Linked DNA regions of Saccharomyces cerevisiae S288C. The gene in region 2 interacts genetically with the main gene of each other region. Each region holds a gene or a part of one and is shown on either strand. Other genes may lie near its edges.

Region 1 (5,023 bases), on a different chromosome or scaffold from region 2:
CAAGTCTTAAATCTTATTTCAGAAGTGATTTTTGAAGTAAAATTGGAAACTGAAATTGGAAACAAGGCACTCAACTCAATTATGCTTGCATGACGAAAGGTTCTGTTACAGTTTTACGTTGAAACCTAGGTACTGCAGAAATCCATAATCGGAGATAAATAACTAAGCTTTGTGCTGCAAAATTTTCCAGATTAGGAAACCTGATCCTCAGTGCCCTTTTAAGTACTGCTGTATCTGATGCCGTGAACGAGACACTATTGGCTGCGTGGGCACGTACCAAGTATACTCATCAAAATTTGTCTTAGGTTTTCCGATGCGGAAAATGGCAGCGCACAATTTAAATAGAAAAGGAGTTAAATGTACAGCAGCAAAATCAGTCACTCACGGAGAAAAGCTACGGTAGCGTAACGAAGAGCACATTGCTACTAGCAGCCAGCTAGATAATTGCAGCAGTGTACAGTTTACGCGACAATAAAGAAAGCATGATTTTCTTTTTCAACCAGATCCGTTCAATATTTACAGCTTTGCATACGCCAACTCAACAGATCCAATTATCAAGAAGGGCCTTTTTCCAATTCTTAGGCTATTTGGGTAGTTGTGTTGTGATTTCATTAGCAGCTCAATCGAAATACGTGCAGTAAGAAATGAAATAATGACCTGCAACAGTCCTTCTTGAGATGGAATGAAGTAATTGCTCTTTGAACGAGAGCACAAAAGCAAGCAGAAGTCGCGTATGTCAAGCCCATGATATAGCTGCTTAGATATATAGGTAGATATAAATAAGCACAATGGCTACAGTAATTGTGCGGTGCAGGGAGGCAATGTTTAGTGCATCTCCTCTACATCATTTCTATTTTTAATCTCGTCCACGAGAACGATTTAAGGAAATGGGGCTTCAAAAATAAAAAAATCAAATGAAAGTAATAATCTTTCAGCTTAGACTTATTTTTAGTTGAAACACTTGAATAAGAGTGCAGACACTCAATCGTGGTGTAGCTACAAGAACATATGGTGGCGTGTTTCTGCTGCAACTGTCAAGATCGTCTGTGTCTTAATGAGGTGATATATAGAACTGCTGAATACGGAGCCGTTTGTCTTTTACTGCGGGATTAACTTCAACAGCTACGGCCGAAGCCAATTCTGGCAAAAGGCAATGACTAAGTCTTGTTTCTCATGTAGATTACTATTTTGAGCGTGTTGCTTTTCTGTTCCCCTTGAGCATAGCAGCAGGCACGGAAGCATACAGAATATTCACTAACATGAGAACAACTCATTACTAGACTACTACCAGTTACTACACATCGATACAACTCCCCAGAAATATCACTGTTGAGAGTTCATGTCAAGACGTAGTATAGTATTGCAACAGGAAAAAAAAATCTTATTGCGTAGCACTCTGTATCTATTTTATATATCTGTTTCTATATTTGATTAATCTCTTGTTATCTTGGTGATGATCGCACAAGTATGTACTCCTGTATCTGCAAGAATATCTGTTTTAAACTTTTCAAAGCAAGGAAACCCCGTCTTATATAGGTTATCCGCAAAGGTCACATTTTCTTGCAAATAGAAGAAAAAGCACCCACAAGCACACTAACACAGTGCCAGAGCAAAACTATATCCTTTGCATCCGATCTCAAACGCTGTTCTTATCGCATCTGTCTTCGTCCTTTCATCTGCATTTACCTTTTCTTTTTCATCCTCTATTTGCCTTTTCATTAGTGGCAATTTTTCCAGTTTTTTCCCTCTGCGTCCCGTTGCACCTGAAAGGATCTTTCTAACGTGTGTTGTCTACTAGTGAGCGATTTCGTGAGCCATACACGTTCTATAGAAAATTGAATAAACTTTACTTCAAAGGGATCTGGACACAGAGATAACTGCTTACCTGCTTGCCGGAAGAAAAGAATTACTAAAAAAGAAGACAAGGGTAGCTGCTATTGTGGGTACACGTTTCACAGAACTACTTTTTCCTTGTCCTTCTCCAGACATCAACGTCATACAACTAAAACTGATAAAGTACCCGTTTTTCCGTACATTTCTATAGATACATTATTATATTAAGCAGATCGAGACGTTAATTTCTCAAAGATGGAAGACAAGTTTGCTAACCTCAGTCTCCATGAGAAAACTGGTAAGTCATCTATCCAATTAAACGAGCAAACAGGCTCAGATAATGGCTCTGCTGTCAAGAGAACATCTTCGACGTCCTCGCACTACAATAACATCAACGCTGACCTTCATGCTCGTGTAAAAGCTTTTCAAGAACAACGTGCATTGAAAAGGTCTGCCAGCGTGGGCAGTAATCAAAGCGAGCAAGACAAAGGCAGTTCACAATCACCTAAACATATTCAGCAGATTGTTAATAAGCCATTGCCGCCTCTTCCCGTAGCAGGAAGTTCTAAGGTTTCACAAAGAATGAGTAGCCAAGTCGTGCAAGCGTCCTCCAAGAGCACTCTTAAGAACGTTCTGGACAATCAAGAAACACAAAACATTACCGACGTAAATATTAACATCGATACAACCAAAATTACCGCCACAACAATTGGTGTAAATACTGGCCTACCTGCTACTGACATTACGCCGTCAGTTTCTAATACTGCATCAGCAACACATAAGGCGCAATTGCTGAATCCTAACAGAAGGGCACCAAGAAGGCCGCTTTCTACCCAGCACCCTACAAGACCAAATGTTGCCCCGCATAAGGCCCCTGCTATAATCAACACACCAAAACAAAGTTTAAGTGCCCGTCGAGGGCTCAAATTACCACCAGGAGGAATGTCATTAAAAATGCCCACTAAAACAGCTCAACAGCCGCAGCAGTTTGCCCCAAGCCCTTCAAACAAAAAACATATAGAAACCTTATCAAACAGCAAAGTTGTTGAAGGGAAAAGATCGAATCCGGGTTCTTTGATAAATGGTGTGCAAAGCACATCCACCTCATCAAGTACCGAAGGCCCACATGACACTGTAGGCACTACACCCAGAACTGGAAACAGCAACAACTCTTCAAATTCTGGTAGTAGTGGTGGTGGTGGTCTTTTCGCAAATTTCTCGAAATACGTGGATATCAAATCCGGCTCTTTGAATTTTGCAGGCAAACTATCGCTATCCTCTAAAGGAATAGATTTCAGCAATGGTTCTAGTTCGAGAATTACATTGGACGAACTAGAATTTTTGGATGAACTGGGTCATGGTAACTATGGTAACGTCTCAAAGGTACTGCATAAGCCCACAAATGTTATTATGGCGACGAAGGAAGTCCGTTTGGAGCTAGATGAGGCTAAATTTAGACAAATTTTAATGGAACTAGAAGTTTTGCATAAATGCAATTCTCCCTATATTGTGGATTTTTATGGTGCATTCTTTATTGAGGGCGCCGTCTACATGTGTATGGAATACATGGATGGTGGTTCCTTGGATAAAATATACGACGAATCATCTGAAATCGGCGGCATTGATGAACCTCAGCTAGCGTTTATTGCCAATGCTGTCATTCATGGACTAAAAGAACTCAAAGAGCAGCATAATATCATACACAGAGATGTCAAACCAACAAATATTTTATGTTCAGCCAACCAAGGCACCGTAAAGCTGTGCGATTTCGGTGTTTCTGGTAATTTGGTGGCATCTTTAGCGAAGACTAATATTGGTTGTCAGTCATACATGGCACCTGAACGAATCAAATCGTTGAATCCAGATAGAGCCACCTATACCGTACAGTCAGACATCTGGTCTTTAGGTTTAAGCATTCTGGAAATGGCACTAGGTAGATATCCGTATCCACCAGAAACATACGACAACATTTTCTCTCAATTGAGCGCTATTGTTGATGGGCCGCCACCGAGATTACCTTCAGATAAATTCAGTTCTGACGCACAAGATTTTGTTTCTTTATGTCTACAAAAGATTCCGGAAAGAAGACCTACATACGCAGCTTTAACAGAGCATCCTTGGTTAGTAAAATACAGAAACCAGGATGTCCACATGAGTGAGTATATCACTGAACGATTAGAAAGGCGCAACAAAATCTTACGGGAACGTGGTGAGAATGGTTTATCTAAAAATGTACCGGCATTACATATGGGTGGTTTATAGCGTTAATATCCAAATAAAAGCAAACAGGCACGTGAATATAACAACAAAAAAAAAGCAGACGAAAAGCTACTGTGGAAATGATGCGGCGAATACAAAAAAACCTTACATATACATATGTTTATTGTAATAAACTTGCATTATACTCGTTATAGACATATATATATATATATATTCATATATATATATCGTCTGACTTCCTTTTGTCGAACCTAAAAAAGGGCACGAATTATGACAGAGTATTGAGGGGATGTTATTTCAAGCACCGGCAAGTGAAGCGATGTGGACGTCAATATATTGTGTTATTCGATTATTGCTACGGCCATCGACTCCTCGAAATTATTTACGTTCGGGGCTGACAACGCAAGAAAGAAAAAATGCTCTGGAATTGTCTGATGGTTTTTCCGCTCTTTACGGCTCAAGGCTAGGAAAGAAAAAAAAGTCCAAAATCATCGAGAAAATAAAAGGTGTTTTGAAAGTTCAAATCCACGTTATTGAGAGTAGATGTGGAGTCTGGACCAGGAACTATACCTGTATCTTACCCTAACTTCTAAATTTTGCTACTTTCACGGAAAACAGTAAATAATTACCTATCAAGATAAAGAGCTCTTACATTATTAGAAACTTTTTGTTACTGTTGCTTTCCTTTCGCCCATTGTTTTTACCTTACCATTAGCATCACTGATTCCACACTTGTATTGCCTTAAAAAGAAGGAGGGTATTCTATTGGCTCTCAAGGAAGTCATTCCTATCCATTTTACTTAAAGTTATTACCTTTTTTTGATAACTAACAATGCATTTTAGAAGAACGATGAGTAGAGTGCCCACATTGGCATCTCTTGAAATACGATATAAAAAATCTTTCGGCCATAAATTTCGTGATTTTATTGCTCTATGTGGTCACTATTTTGCTCCAGTTAAAAAATATATC
Region 2 (3,595 bases):
AGTTTGAAAAGTTGTTGAAACAGATCCTCAGATAAATTGGGAGGCTCCTTTGGAGCGGGAGGCTTCAACCTTTTAATCAACCTAATTTTGTGCTTTTGCAAAAGATGGTAATCTGGTGTGGCGATATTATATGATAATAAATTAGGCAGCGTGGCTTCCAGTATCAAAGAGCACTCCTTACTCTTGAATAACTCAGTGATTCTTTGAGAACCGGGCAAAATGTATTGATAGAGGAAATCCAACGAAGCAATAATCAGCTCACTATCGCATTCTAACAGTAAAAAGGAAACGATCAACGAAAGAGTCTTATGGTCCAAATTGTCCGCTGCACTTTCCTCGTTAGCTTTGGACCTAACCAGTAATCTTGAAAGAGACCTCAATATAGAAATAACCATGTATCTGTCCTTAGTGTAGTTCAAGATGGACACCAGCGTTTGGAAATAATGATCATCCTTCATTGCAGGAGCAATATAGGACGAAATGGCCTCCATCAAGTCCAGAGTATAATGGGTCAACTCGTTAAAAAAAGTTGCATTTCCTTCGTACAATTGCCACTTGTTATCGCCTGTAGCGACGCACTGAAACTTCTTCAAAATGAAAAGAATGAAAGATTTGATTTCTCGATCCTTGACTAGTATCTGCACCGAATCAGTATCTTGAGCCAGATTCCTTAGGATCAGCAAGGCATTTAGACCCATTTGTAGAGAATCCATCGCCTTTGAATCACATATAGACGATTTGTTAAGACCTTCCACGATGCGCTCCAAAGGCAATATGAAAGTCTTGAAAAGTGGCAACAGGTCCGGCAATGTCCGTAAGCTGATCATATATGGCGCCTTGTTACTATACGTAAGATATTTTTTTAAAGACCACTTAATCTCCTCCGGTATCCCACTCAGTAACGCCATCTCCATCCTCGTCAAATCGTCTACACCTCTGGCCGTTTCCTTGGGTAGCGACTGGAACACATTAAAATTGGCCAGCGAATAGTGGATGGACTTAGTATTGGCTGCAGGTCCCGTCAGAACTCCATTAGACTGTAATCGAGACACTTTAATAGGGTTAGCCACCATTGTCTCGAACATGTTCACAGGCTCGGAGCTTGTGGCGGGTGCCTCGCTTACTGGAGTACCATTTAGCGGTGTGTTTGAAGCTAACGAGTTCATCTTCAATCTTTATTTCCACTTCTTTACAAGCTTTCTGCCTTTCTCTATGACGTCTTTCCCAAAACACTACCTCTTGACACGACTTGTTGTTTTCGTTTTTCTCTAAGAATATCACTATTTTCACTTTTTTCACCTTTTCCACCATTACGTCGGTAAGCAACAGCATTACGCCGGCCTCACCTTAGAGGGGAAGAATAAGGGATCTTTGGAACTGAAGGAAAATAAGGGAGAGGGAGGAAACAAGGAGGCGGTGAAAGGGGATCGACAGGGTATTTAAAGCCACTCATGGAGTCGTATTCCTAGCATGATTAGATTACCGGAGTTTAGAAGAGGATCTGCAATAGAAGAGGAGACAACTACAAAAGAACTGTTAATTAAGAGAAGAAGATGAAGCAATTCAAGTTGGTTAATGCGGTTTCCGCATCATTTGTGCTTATTGGCTTAGTGTTGGCCAATTCAGATTCAGTGTTCGACAAGTGGACGCAGGAAGACCTGGCCGATTATTTACGTGATAATAAGAAGAGCTTGGAAAAGTACGCTACAGACTCCATTGAGGACTTGAAAACGGAGGCATCGCAGGTATGGGACAAACACGCGCAGCCCAAACCATGGTGGCAGGTGTGGTCTAGTGACAGCAGTAGCGTGAGCAACAGTAACCCCGGATGGTTTGGTTATACTGGTTCTTCGGATCACCCAGTTTCTGACTGGCTCTTTGACACCTGGTCCACAGACAGTCTACGTAACTTCTTGAAGAAAAACGGCGTGGATGTTGACGACGCTAAGGCTTCCAAGGACTCGCTGGTGAAGACTGCTAAGGAGAACTTCAACAAGATTTCCAAATCTTTGAAGTCGTCGGGATACTATCCTTCTAGCTCTTACTTTGATAGCTGGTCAACCAAAGATTTGCAAAACTGGTTGAATGACAATGGTATCGACTACGACAAGGCAGTTCAAAGCAAGGACGAGCTAGTTCAGAAAGTCAAGGAAAACATCTACCGAACTTCAGAAAAGGCAGAACAGCAGCGTCTGGGTTTGCTAGAAAGCTTGGATTTGGCTCACCAACAAATATTAGACACATCGGGACAAATAAAAGACACTGTATTTGACAAGTGGTCTAGTGATCAGTTAACCAATTGGTTGGAGAGCCACAAGGTCAATATTGACAAGAACATGGCCAAGAAACACGACTATTTGGTTAGAATGGCCAAAGAAAATTCTGCCAATTTGAAAGATGATATCTACTGGTACCTGGACTATATGAAAAGAGAGTCTTCTCCATTTTTGACCAAGACCCCAGAATACGTTGGTTCCGTTTGGGACTCTTCTAAAAATTTCCTCACAAATTTGTACTCCAAGTTCAGAGGTAAGACTGACAATGTGATCAATGATACTTTTTTGGTTGGCCTAGACTCTTGGCCAAAGGACAAATTGAAAATGTTTTTAGATGCTCGTGGTATTAAGTACTCAATGCTGTCTACTGAACATCAATTGAGAGAATTAGTCAAAAAATCCAGAAACGAAAAACTCAAGATCCTGCCAAAAGACTACCAAAAATACTTTGACAACAGTAACTGGTCTTTGGATGACATAAAGGGTTGGTTTGCTGACAAAAAGGACGACTTCCAAGATTCTCAGACTTACTCCACAATTATGCAGGATTTTGACAAGGTTTCCAAAAACACAAATGATGCTAAGGACCAAATCGCTAAGACCTGGTCAAATACCTTTCAGAGCTGGTCTCAAGAAGACCTATTGCAGTACCTAAAATCATTCGGTGTTCCGGTTAAACAGACTTCTACGAAGGACGACTTAATCAACTTGGCCAAGCAGAATACGCAATGGTTGTTCGGCACTGTTAAGGAGCCTGCTTACAAGAGGTACCTACATAACGTTAAAAACTGGTCGAAAAGCATATTAGGGTTCAACTAATGATTGGGGTGTCAACGTAATGTACTTTTCTCCCCAATTTTTCTTTTCATCCGTATATTTTACCGTAAAATGGACAAGCTAATAGCAAAACGAAAAAACACGTTGTCACTTCTATATAACTTTGCTTAAGTAAGTATTTTGTCTTTATAATGTTACATACTGTGAAATACACTCTTTAGAAAACACTATTTCCTCACTCTCGGAAGCAGATTTCGAAGTTCTTCCTTACTTCTGAGCTTTGCTTCTCCTTCCTTGCGATTAATGTTACCCGGTATACGAAATCGGAGAGGATCAGAATAAATGCATTGAAAGGAGCATAAATCTATACAGCGGTTTGGCAATGGTGAGAGGAAGAGAACAAAAAATAGAACGCAGATAGTCATGTCCAAATACGCTTGGTATACCAGAGTTACAGATACATTACATCGTCTAACGGTACTGACGTTGGTTGGTGGTACGTTATACATGTCGGGTGGCTTAGCTTACACTTTATACATGAA
Region 3 (4,346 bases), on a different chromosome or scaffold from region 2:
TATGCCAAAGGCCATTATAAGACTTGCCGCTGGTCGTTATACAATGAAAGAAACAGAGCAATTTGTCTGTTTCATGGCAGGTTGTAACAGTATCTTCACCGGTAAGAAAATGCTGACGACAATGTGTAACGGTTGGGACGAAGACAAGGCAATGTTGGCTAAATGGGGATTGCAACCTATGGAGGCATTTAAGTACGACAGATCTTGAAGATAGGGATATGTGGATAATTCTACGATTCTAACTGTACATTTCTCCCTTATTTATTAAGAAAACCTATATATATATATATTTACCTATTTATTCTGCCATCGTTAGCTGGCGTTTTATCTTTTATGCATCCAATATCTAATATTACTTCCGATCACGCATTTAGTTCTGATTACAGCAGAAATCGTAGCGCGATGAGACATTTCATCAAATGGCCTTTTTTTTTTGGGCAATTTTTTTATATCTTGAAATGATAGTTGCCTTGTACTTTCAACCGTTCATTTCATTAAGAACTTGACTAAATATGAACATTTCTTAAAAAAAAGGTTGACATATAAAAATAATCGAATATAAACGATGGAATTTTTATAAAATTAAACACATATATATATATATATTAACTATAAATATGTCAAAGAAACCATACAATCATAGATTTATAACTATCTTTTGGATGACATTAATGAACATAACGCTCCTAATACAAATGTCCAAAAAATATTACCCGCAAATACGAATCTTTTTTTTTTCTCGATGAAATTTTGCAAAGAGTTCGAAATTTTTATTTCAAGAGCTGGTAGAGAAAATTTCATAAGGTTTTCCTACCGATGCTTTTATAAAATCTTCGTTTTGTCTCACATATACCAACAAGAGTAACGATGTTTTCTTTACCTACCCTAACCTCAGACATCACTGTTGAAGTCAACAGTTCCGCTACCAAAACCCCATTCGTCCGTCGTCCGGTCGAACCGGTTGGTAAGTTCTTTTTGCAACATGCTCAAAGAACTTTGAGAAACCACACCTGGTCTGAATTTGAAAGAATTGAAGCTGAAAAGAACGTCAAAACCGTTGATGAATCCAATGTCGACCCAGATGAGTTGTTATTCGACACTGAATTGGCCGATGAAGATTTACTGACTCATGATGCTAGAGACTGGAAAACTGCCGATTTGTATGCTGCTATGGGTTTGTCTAAGTTGCGTTTCAGAGCTACTGAAAGTCAAATCATCAAGGCTCACAGAAAACAAGTTGTCAAGTACCATCCAGACAAGCAATCTGCTGCTGGTGGTAGTTTGGACCAAGATGGCTTTTTCAAGATTATTCAAAAGGCCTTTGAAACTTTGACTGATTCCAACAAGAGAGCTCAGTACGACTCATGTGATTTTGTTGCCGATGTTCCTCCTCCAAAGAAGGGTACCGATTATGACTTTTATGAAGCTTGGGGCCCCGTTTTCGAAGCTGAAGCTCGTTTTTCTAAGAAGACTCCTATTCCTTCTCTAGGTAACAAAGATTCTTCCAAGAAGGAAGTTGAACAATTCTATGCTTTCTGGCACAGATTTGACTCCTGGAGAACCTTTGAGTTCTTGGACGAAGATGTCCCAGATGACTCTTCTAACAGAGACCACAAGCGTTACATTGAAAGAAAGAACAAGGCCGCAAGAGACAAGAAGAAGACTGCTGATAACGCTAGATTGGTCAAACTTGTTGAAAGAGCTGTCAGTGAAGATCCCCGTATCAAAATGTTCAAAGAAGAAGAGAAGAAGGAAAAGGAAAGAAGAAAATGGGAAAGAGAAGCCGGTGCCAGAGCTGAAGCTGAAGCTAAGGCCAAGGCCGAAGCTGAAGCGAAGGCTAAAGCTGAATCTGAAGCCAAGGCTAACGCCTCCGCAAAAGCTGACAAAAAGAAGGCTAAGGAAGCTGCTAAGGCCGCCAAGAAAAAGAACAAGAGAGCCATCCGTAACTCTGCTAAGGAAGCTGACTACTTTGGTGATGCTGACAAGGCCACCACGATTGACGAACAAGTTGGTTTGATCGTTGACAGTTTGAATGACGAAGAGTTAGTGTCCACCGCCGATAAGATCAAGGCCAATGCTGCTGGTGCCAAGGAAGTTTTGAAGGAATCTGCAAAGACTATTGTCGATTCTGGCAAACTACCATCCAGCTTGTTGTCCTACTTCGTGTGAATACCGTAAGAAATGGAATAGAATATATACGAATGTATACGAATATTATAGAGAACGTTCTCTTTTATTTCTATAATGAATAGGTTCGGGTAACGGTTCCCTTTTTAGGTATTTCTAGAAGATGAGAGAAGAGGGAATAATGAGAAAGGCGAAAAATAAAGGACACCTTTAACGAAAGATCAAAGGTGTCCTTATTTACTTACAATAGCTGCAATTAGTACGACTCAAAAAAAGTGAAAACAAAACTGAAAGGATAGATCAATGTCTTACAGAGGACCTATTGGAAATTTTGGCGGTATGCCAATGTCATCATCGCAAGGACCATACTCTGGCGGTGCACAATTCAGATCAAACCAGAACCAATCCACTTCTGGCATCTTAAAGCAATGGAAGCATTCTTTTGAAAAGTTTGCCTCCAGAATTGAGGGGCTCACTGACAATGCAGTTGTTTATAAATTGAAGCCTTACATTCCAAGTTTGTCAAGATTTTTCATTGTGGCCACCTTTTATGAAGATTCGTTTAGGATCTTATCACAATGGTCAGATCAAATTTTTTATCTGAATAAGTGGAAGCATTACCCATACTTCTTTGTCGTTGTGTTTCTAGTGGTTGTTACCGTTTCCATGTTGATTGGCGCCAGTTTGTTAGTTTTAAGAAAGCAAACCAATTATGCCACCGGTGTGTTATGTGCTTGCGTTATTTCTCAAGCATTAGTTTATGGGTTGTTTACGGGTTCATCATTTGTCCTAAGAAACTTTAGTGTTATTGGTGGGTTGTTAATTGCATTCAGCGATTCAATTGTTCAAAACAAGACAACATTCGGTATGCTTCCTGAATTAAACAGCAAAAACGACAAAGCGAAGGGTTACCTGTTGTTTGCTGGTAGAATTTTAATTGTTTTAATGTTTATCGCTTTCACTTTCAGTAAATCATGGTTTACTGTTGTTTTGACCATTATCGGCACAATATGTTTCGCCATTGGTTACAAGACAAAATTCGCATCCATTATGTTGGGTTTGATACTAACTTTTTACAATATCACGCTAAACAACTACTGGTTTTATAACAATACTAAGAGAGATTTCTTGAAGTATGAGTTTTACCAGAACTTAAGCATCATTGGTGGGCTTCTATTAGTTACTAATACTGGCGCTGGTGAATTATCCGTTGATGAAAAGAAGAAGATTTACTAGATTGTAAAGGAAATCTTTTCTTTATGTCCCTTCTGTTCACTCATCTTCTAACAATCTATTTCGTTTTGCCTTCTTGTGATCGCTTTCAATACCCTGCTAGCTCACATATATACTTTTCTTACTGTCATATCTACATAAAAGATTTCTTTTTGTATAGGCGCACTTAACGAAATTTGATTGGTCTCACGTTGGCTTGTATATTCTACCTTCAATCAATGTGGTTATATCGCACAGAATTCCCTTGTATTATGATAGAACTTATTTATTGTAATTAGTTTTGATTTGACCATTTTCGTTGGTCCGTAATTGTTTTACACTGTCACTGCTTAAATCATTGAAGAGATGCTCTTGAGATAGCATCCGCTCTCCTATCTTTCCAAAGAAACGCTTTAAAGTCGCTTTAAGCAATCTCTAAAGTTTAAAAATTCCTAATAAATAGCTCTTTAGCAACTATTGTAAACCGCAATAATGGGCACACCCAAACATATTATTTGAAATTTTTTCCACCTCATCGCTTGAAAACACCATGTTGAAATTGGGATATTAAGTAGAGGAGGTAATTGATACCAATGAGGTGAAACACATCTACCAAGGGAAGTGTAGCATAATAGGGGAAGATGGCAGTAAAACATAAATCCGAGAGCCTTAAGCACGAAGAGGGGGCTGCCAAAAAGGCAAAGACAGGCCTATTGAAGCTAAAAAAAATCATGGATATAGAATCTAATGTGGTCAAATATTCCATATGCATACCGACAACTGTTATCGACAATTGTAATAATTTGGAGCAAGTTACATTTACTGCATATCAAATAGCTCGGACAGCTGTATTGTTCAATGTTCAAGAAATCATAGTTCTAGACCAGTCAAAAGATAAAAAGCATGAAAAAAAATCAAGATCAAAGGAGACTATCTCTGATTGTTTATTACTTGCCACACTATTACAATATTTTGTAACGCCTCCAAACTTACTGGATACTACATTC
Region 4 (4,753 bases), on a different chromosome or scaffold from region 2:
TAAAAATTTACGTAAAGGTAAGTCATACCTGTCATGAACATGTTATGAACTGCTACCCACGTGTAACCAATTTTTTTATTGACACAAAGATTGTAAAATACGTCTATGGTGCCCTTCGTACTGTCCAGGACAATTTTAAAAGCGGTATCATTCAAAGTAGGGAATTTTGGAGAAAGTCCATAAAGAATGCTCTTCGAGTAATGATAGTTCAGATCAAACCAGATGCTGTTAAATTTGCAATTCATCATCTCAAAGTTTTTGGGAACGTCCACTTGGAACCAACGCTCAAGCTCATTGTAGGTTTCAATCCGCCAGCTCTCGAGATCCATAAACCTCCTCGGCAATTCTGCACCGGGCGCGTAGAGTATTCTCACTATACTAGCTTGGATTCTTCTGATTTTATACATGGCCAATGCGATAACTTTTGAAGACGGATTTGGGCTTGGTAAGTCTGAGTAGTCGTCAATTTCTCGGTTAGTTAATGTGATGAAGGAATCGTCCAAAAGGCTAGGATACCTGGTGGTGATGCTTTCTTCAGGTATACCAAAAGGTCGACCAAAATACGAGCAAATTTGCCGATCTAAGGAGTAAACGCACCAAAATAGACGCCTGCGTATTTCTCTGGTAAAGGCGTCATAATTTTTATTAATTTTTTCCGAATGTAGTCCTAGGTCAACCGTTAGTCTTAGTACAGAACCCATAGTATACCAAACACCGGGGACATTAGGTCTCATTATTGAATAGATTACCATGAGCAAAGTGCCTGCCAATGCCTCCAACCTGTCTGAAGATGAAAATAAAGATGCAATATATTTAGTAGCGCGTCTCTTATATGTCGCGACAGTAGTAATATCTGACTTAAGTACCTGCGTAGCATGGCCAATAGCAAATATAATGTTTAAAAAAAAATAAGGTATGTGAAATTTTGTCGGTAGTTCAACTATCGGACGCATGTTGACTTTTTGAGATGTCTCCCAAGTGTCATACCATGGAACATCCACGGAAGAGCATACGTCAATCTTCTCAGTAACGTTCTCCCTTTTTGGTTCAGTATGCGCACTAAAAGCACTGGTAATTGGAATTTCGAACGCGCTATTTATGCCTGTCTGATCAGATGCCAATGCAATATTGGGATTCCAGGGACCATAAATAGGTTCAAAGTATTTTTTCAGGAAAAGTTCTCTATGCAGCAAAGGTAACTGGGAATTAGTATCTACAAAAAACCTGGATATCATAACTTCAGCGGCATGTCGAGGTGGTAGTTCCAATGGATCAAAGTGTGGATTGTTTTCAGCCTCTGCATATCCATTGTATTTCTGTTCCCTTTGTTTAATATCTTCATCCAGAACGTCATCTCCGGAATCTTGACGAAAATTAGTTGCCGTGAAGACTAATTTCGCAAAGGAAATACCCGATGAATCTCCTAAAAAAGAGTTAAAACTACTTTCTCTCATCGTGCCCAGCGCACTGATCTCCTTATTACATCGGCGTAGCTCTTCCGCTCTTGCATCTGAAGTCATAGGGCTGCCTGTCTCGGGTAATAAAGCGCTACCATCTTGTTTTTTTGAGTTTACCAGAAATTCCTTGCGTTGTACATTTATAGTCTGTGGGCTTGCCATAGACTTGCTCGTTATAGCTGAGGATGCCATAGAATTCCCTTTCTGAACCAAATAATCCGCCAATAAGCCATTATGTGGCAATATTCCCTCTTCTCCCAAAGATGAAACTGAACTGTACTTTTTCAAATCAAAAGGTTCATCATCACTTGTAGCAGGTATATTTCCTCGTATTTTCGTGGGATCTACTCCATATTCTTTCAACACACGCATCATGACAGCCAATCTATCTTCCAGAAAAAAGACGTAAGATCTTGGAACGTCCTTTCCGGTGGCTGGGTCCAAAGAAACACATGGTACCTCTAATTTTGCACACCTCTTACAGCTAGGAAACTCCTGATCACATTTAATTTTTTTCAATCGACATCGTTTACATGCAGTTCTAGATTTGGAAATTCCTATATTAGGAGAATCTCCTCTTTTTGATAAATCTGTTCTATTACTTTTTTTGGAGTTAAATTTTTTCTGCTTCATGATTTAATCATCATCTTCGTATGTTTTATGTACTCTAAAGGGTTACTCCTGTGCGAATAAAGCAAACCACTTTACGTTACTAAAATTTTTCACATTTGGTATTGTGAGTATTTTATGAAGCTCATCGCGGTAAAAGAAAAAAATAGAGAATCTGTGATTATAGTTTAAAAAGGATGTAGACAAAGGATATCAGCGATAAAGGTGGCCATAATTGGACGAAGACAAATAATTCACTTCCTTAATAATGAAGTTGGGTATTATACCTTACCAGGAAGGTACTGATATTGTTTACAAGAATGCTCTCCAGGGTCAGCAAGAAGGGAAGAGACCTAATTTACCACAGATGGAAGCAACGCACCAAATCAAGTCATCGGTTCAGGGTACAAGTTATGAGTTTGTCCGCACAGAAGATATTCCATTGAATCGAAGACATTTTGTGTACAGACCGTGTTCCGCAAATCCCTTTTTCACTATTTTGGGGTATGGCTGTACAGAATACCCATTTGACCACTCTGGAATGAGCGTCATGGACAGATCTGAAGGGTTGTCAATTAGTCGAGATGGAAATGATCTGGTAAGTGTCCCGGATCAATACGGTTGGAGAACTGCAAGAAGCGATGTGTGTATTAAAGAAGGAATGACGTATTGGGAAGTGGAGGTAATTCGTGGAGGAAACAAGAAATTCGCAGACGGTGTTAATAATAAGGAAAATGCTGATGATTCAGTAGACGAAGTACAAAGTGGCATATACGAAAAAATGCACAAACAAGTGAATGACACCCCGCATCTACGATTTGGAGTTTGCAGAAGAGAGGCCAGTTTAGAGGCTCCCGTAGGGTTTGATGTGTACGGGTATGGTATTAGAGACATTTCGTTAGAATCTATCCACGAAGGAAAATTGAATTGCGTCCTAGAAAATGGTTCGCCATTGAAAGAGGGTGATAAAATCGGATTTCTACTGAGTCTTCCTAGCATTCATACACAAATCAAACAAGCTAAGGAGTTTACCAAAAGAAGAATTTTTGCACTGAACTCCCATATGGATACGATGAATGAACCATGGAGAGAAGATGCTGAGAATGGGCCTTCAAGGAAAAAATTAAAACAAGAGACAACGAACAAAGAATTTCAAAGGGCGCTATTAGAAGATATTGAATATAACGACGTCGTCCGCGATCAAATCGCCATCAGGTATAAGAACCAGTTGTTCTTTGAGGCAACGGACTATGTAAAGACAACGAAACCGGAATATTATTCTTCTGATAAGAGGGAAAGGCAAGACTATTACCAGTTAGAGGATTCATATCTTGCTATCTTTCAAAATGGTAAGTACCTAGGCAAAGCATTTGAAAATTTAAAGCCGTTGTTACCACCGTTCAGTGAGTTACAATACAATGAAAAGTTCTATCTTGGATATTGGCAACATGGTGAAGCTCGTGATGAGTCCAATGATAAAAACACAACCAGTGCCAAAAAGAAAAAGCAGCAACAAAAGAAAAAGAAGGGATTGATACTCAGAAACAAATACGTAAATAATAACAAACTGGGTTACTATCCAACAATCAGCTGTTTTAACGGTGGAACAGCGAGGATAATTAGTGAAGAAGATAAATTGGAGTACCTCGATCAAATCCGATCAGCTTACTGTGTTGACGGGAATTCAAAAGTTAACACACTGGATACATTGTACAAAGAACAGATAGCTGAAGACATAGTATGGGATATAATCGATGAGTTGGAGCAAATTGCCCTACAGCAATAAAGCAGCATTCAAAGAAGAATAATTAAAACACACTGAAAGTGTGTTTCTTATATATGGTTATACATTCATGAAGATGAGTTCGTAATCGTTATCTTCTTCAAATTCTGAAAGTGTAAGGACGTCACCACTTCGTAGCTCTATATATCTCGCTCCAGGAATTACAACGTTGTTCAAACATGTCCCATTGGACGAATCCAAATCCATTACATAACATTTCAAAATGCCACGAACGTTCCTGAACTGGATGACGCAGTGCTGCTTTGAGGATGTTTCTTCGGGTATACCAATGTCTGCGACAACGATCTCCGTTCTATCGTCGAGATCTGTATCCAGACTGTGGCCCAGTTCACGACCGACTAAATAACAGCTCCTGCCGTTCAAATCGTATCTTTTCCACGGTCCTTTATCCTTGTCATTCTTTCTGTATATCACTAGTTCATACATAGTCCTATCTCGCGCCTCCAGTCCTAGCATATCCATGTAGTTATCTGGAGAAATAGCGTCCTGCGGCTCCACATGTTTTAAAGCTATACCTTCTTTGTTATTCGACTCCAGCTCTAACAGACCGGAAGGGCTGAAGTCTGGCATAATATCGATGTACTGCGATTTGAATTTCTTGTCATCATGGCCATAATTTCTGGTGTTATAAGGTCTTTTGCGTCTGTGAAACATGTCTATACGCAAATGGAGTCGGAAATGAAGTACACCATGCTTGCTGTGGCTTTTACGTTATACCAAGGCTTCTATTGTAGGACGCCTTTATTGTCAATTATGTGAAAAGAAAGCAAAAAAAAGAAAAAGAAAAATGAAAAAAGATGAACGTGTGAATGAAAAAAAACTATTTCGAGATGAGATGAGATTAAATGAACAGGATTAAGAATACATTTTCTGTTGCTAAGAG

Evidence for each region.
Region 1: mutations in MSC1 (region 2) and PBS2 together harm fitness more than expected from each alone (negative genetic interaction), as found in Saccharomyces cerevisiae (3 studies listed by BioGRID).
Region 3: mutations in MSC1 (region 2) and ERV29 together harm fitness more than expected from each alone (negative genetic interaction), as found in Saccharomyces cerevisiae (3 studies listed by BioGRID, with this or other methods).
Region 4: mutations in MSC1 (region 2) and BRE2 together harm fitness more than expected from each alone (negative genetic interaction), as found in Saccharomyces cerevisiae (3 studies listed by BioGRID).

Annotation. Positions count from the first base shown.
Region 1 is NC_001142.9:177,169-182,191, reverse strand, and holds PBS2 (mitogen-activated protein kinase kinase PBS2), read left to right. Parts: upstream 1-2,088; coding exon 2,089-4,095; downstream 4,096-5,023. Other genes in the region: MCO6 (Mco6p), read left to right, coding at 483-641; TRK1 (Trk1p), read left to right, coding at 4,886-5,023. UniProt on the Saccharomyces cerevisiae protein: Kinase involved in a signal transduction pathway that is activated by changes in the osmolarity of the extracellular environment. Activates the MAP kinase HOG1 by concomitant phosphorylation at 'Thr-174' and 'Tyr-176'.
Region 2 is NC_001145.3:14,635-18,229, reverse strand, and holds MSC1 (double-strand break repair enhancer MSC1), read left to right. Parts: upstream 1-1,553; coding exon 1,554-3,095; downstream 3,096-3,595. Other genes in the region: RSC9 (Rsc9p), read right to left, coding at 1-1,166; COX14 (Cox14p), read left to right, coding at 3,477-3,595.
Region 3 is NC_001139.9:1,059,675-1,064,020, reverse strand, and holds ERV29 (protein ERV29), read left to right. Parts: upstream 1-2,430; coding exon 2,431-3,363; downstream 3,364-4,346. Other genes in the region: BIO2 (biotin synthase), read left to right, coding at 1-208; ZUO1 (zuotin), read left to right, coding at 868-2,169; UPA1 (putative methyltransferase), read left to right, coding at 3,981-4,346. UniProt on the Saccharomyces cerevisiae protein: Constituent of COPII-coated endoplasmic reticulum-derived transport vesicles. Required for efficient transport of a subset of secretory proteins to the Golgi. The C-terminal di-lysine motif is required for exit from the endoplasmic reticulum.
Region 4 is NC_001144.5:172,893-177,645, forward strand, and holds BRE2 (Bre2p), read left to right. Parts: upstream 1-2,334; coding exon 2,335-3,852; downstream 3,853-4,753. Other genes in the region: PPR1 (Ppr1p), read right to left, coding at 1-2,090; PML1 (Pml1p), read right to left, coding at 3,910-4,524; MEU1 (S-methyl-5-thioadenosine phosphorylase), read left to right, coding at 4,716-4,753. UniProt on the Saccharomyces cerevisiae protein: Component of the Set1C/COMPASS complex that specifically mono-, di- and trimethylates histone H3 to form H3K4me1/2/3, which subsequently plays a role in telomere length maintenance and transcription elongation regulation.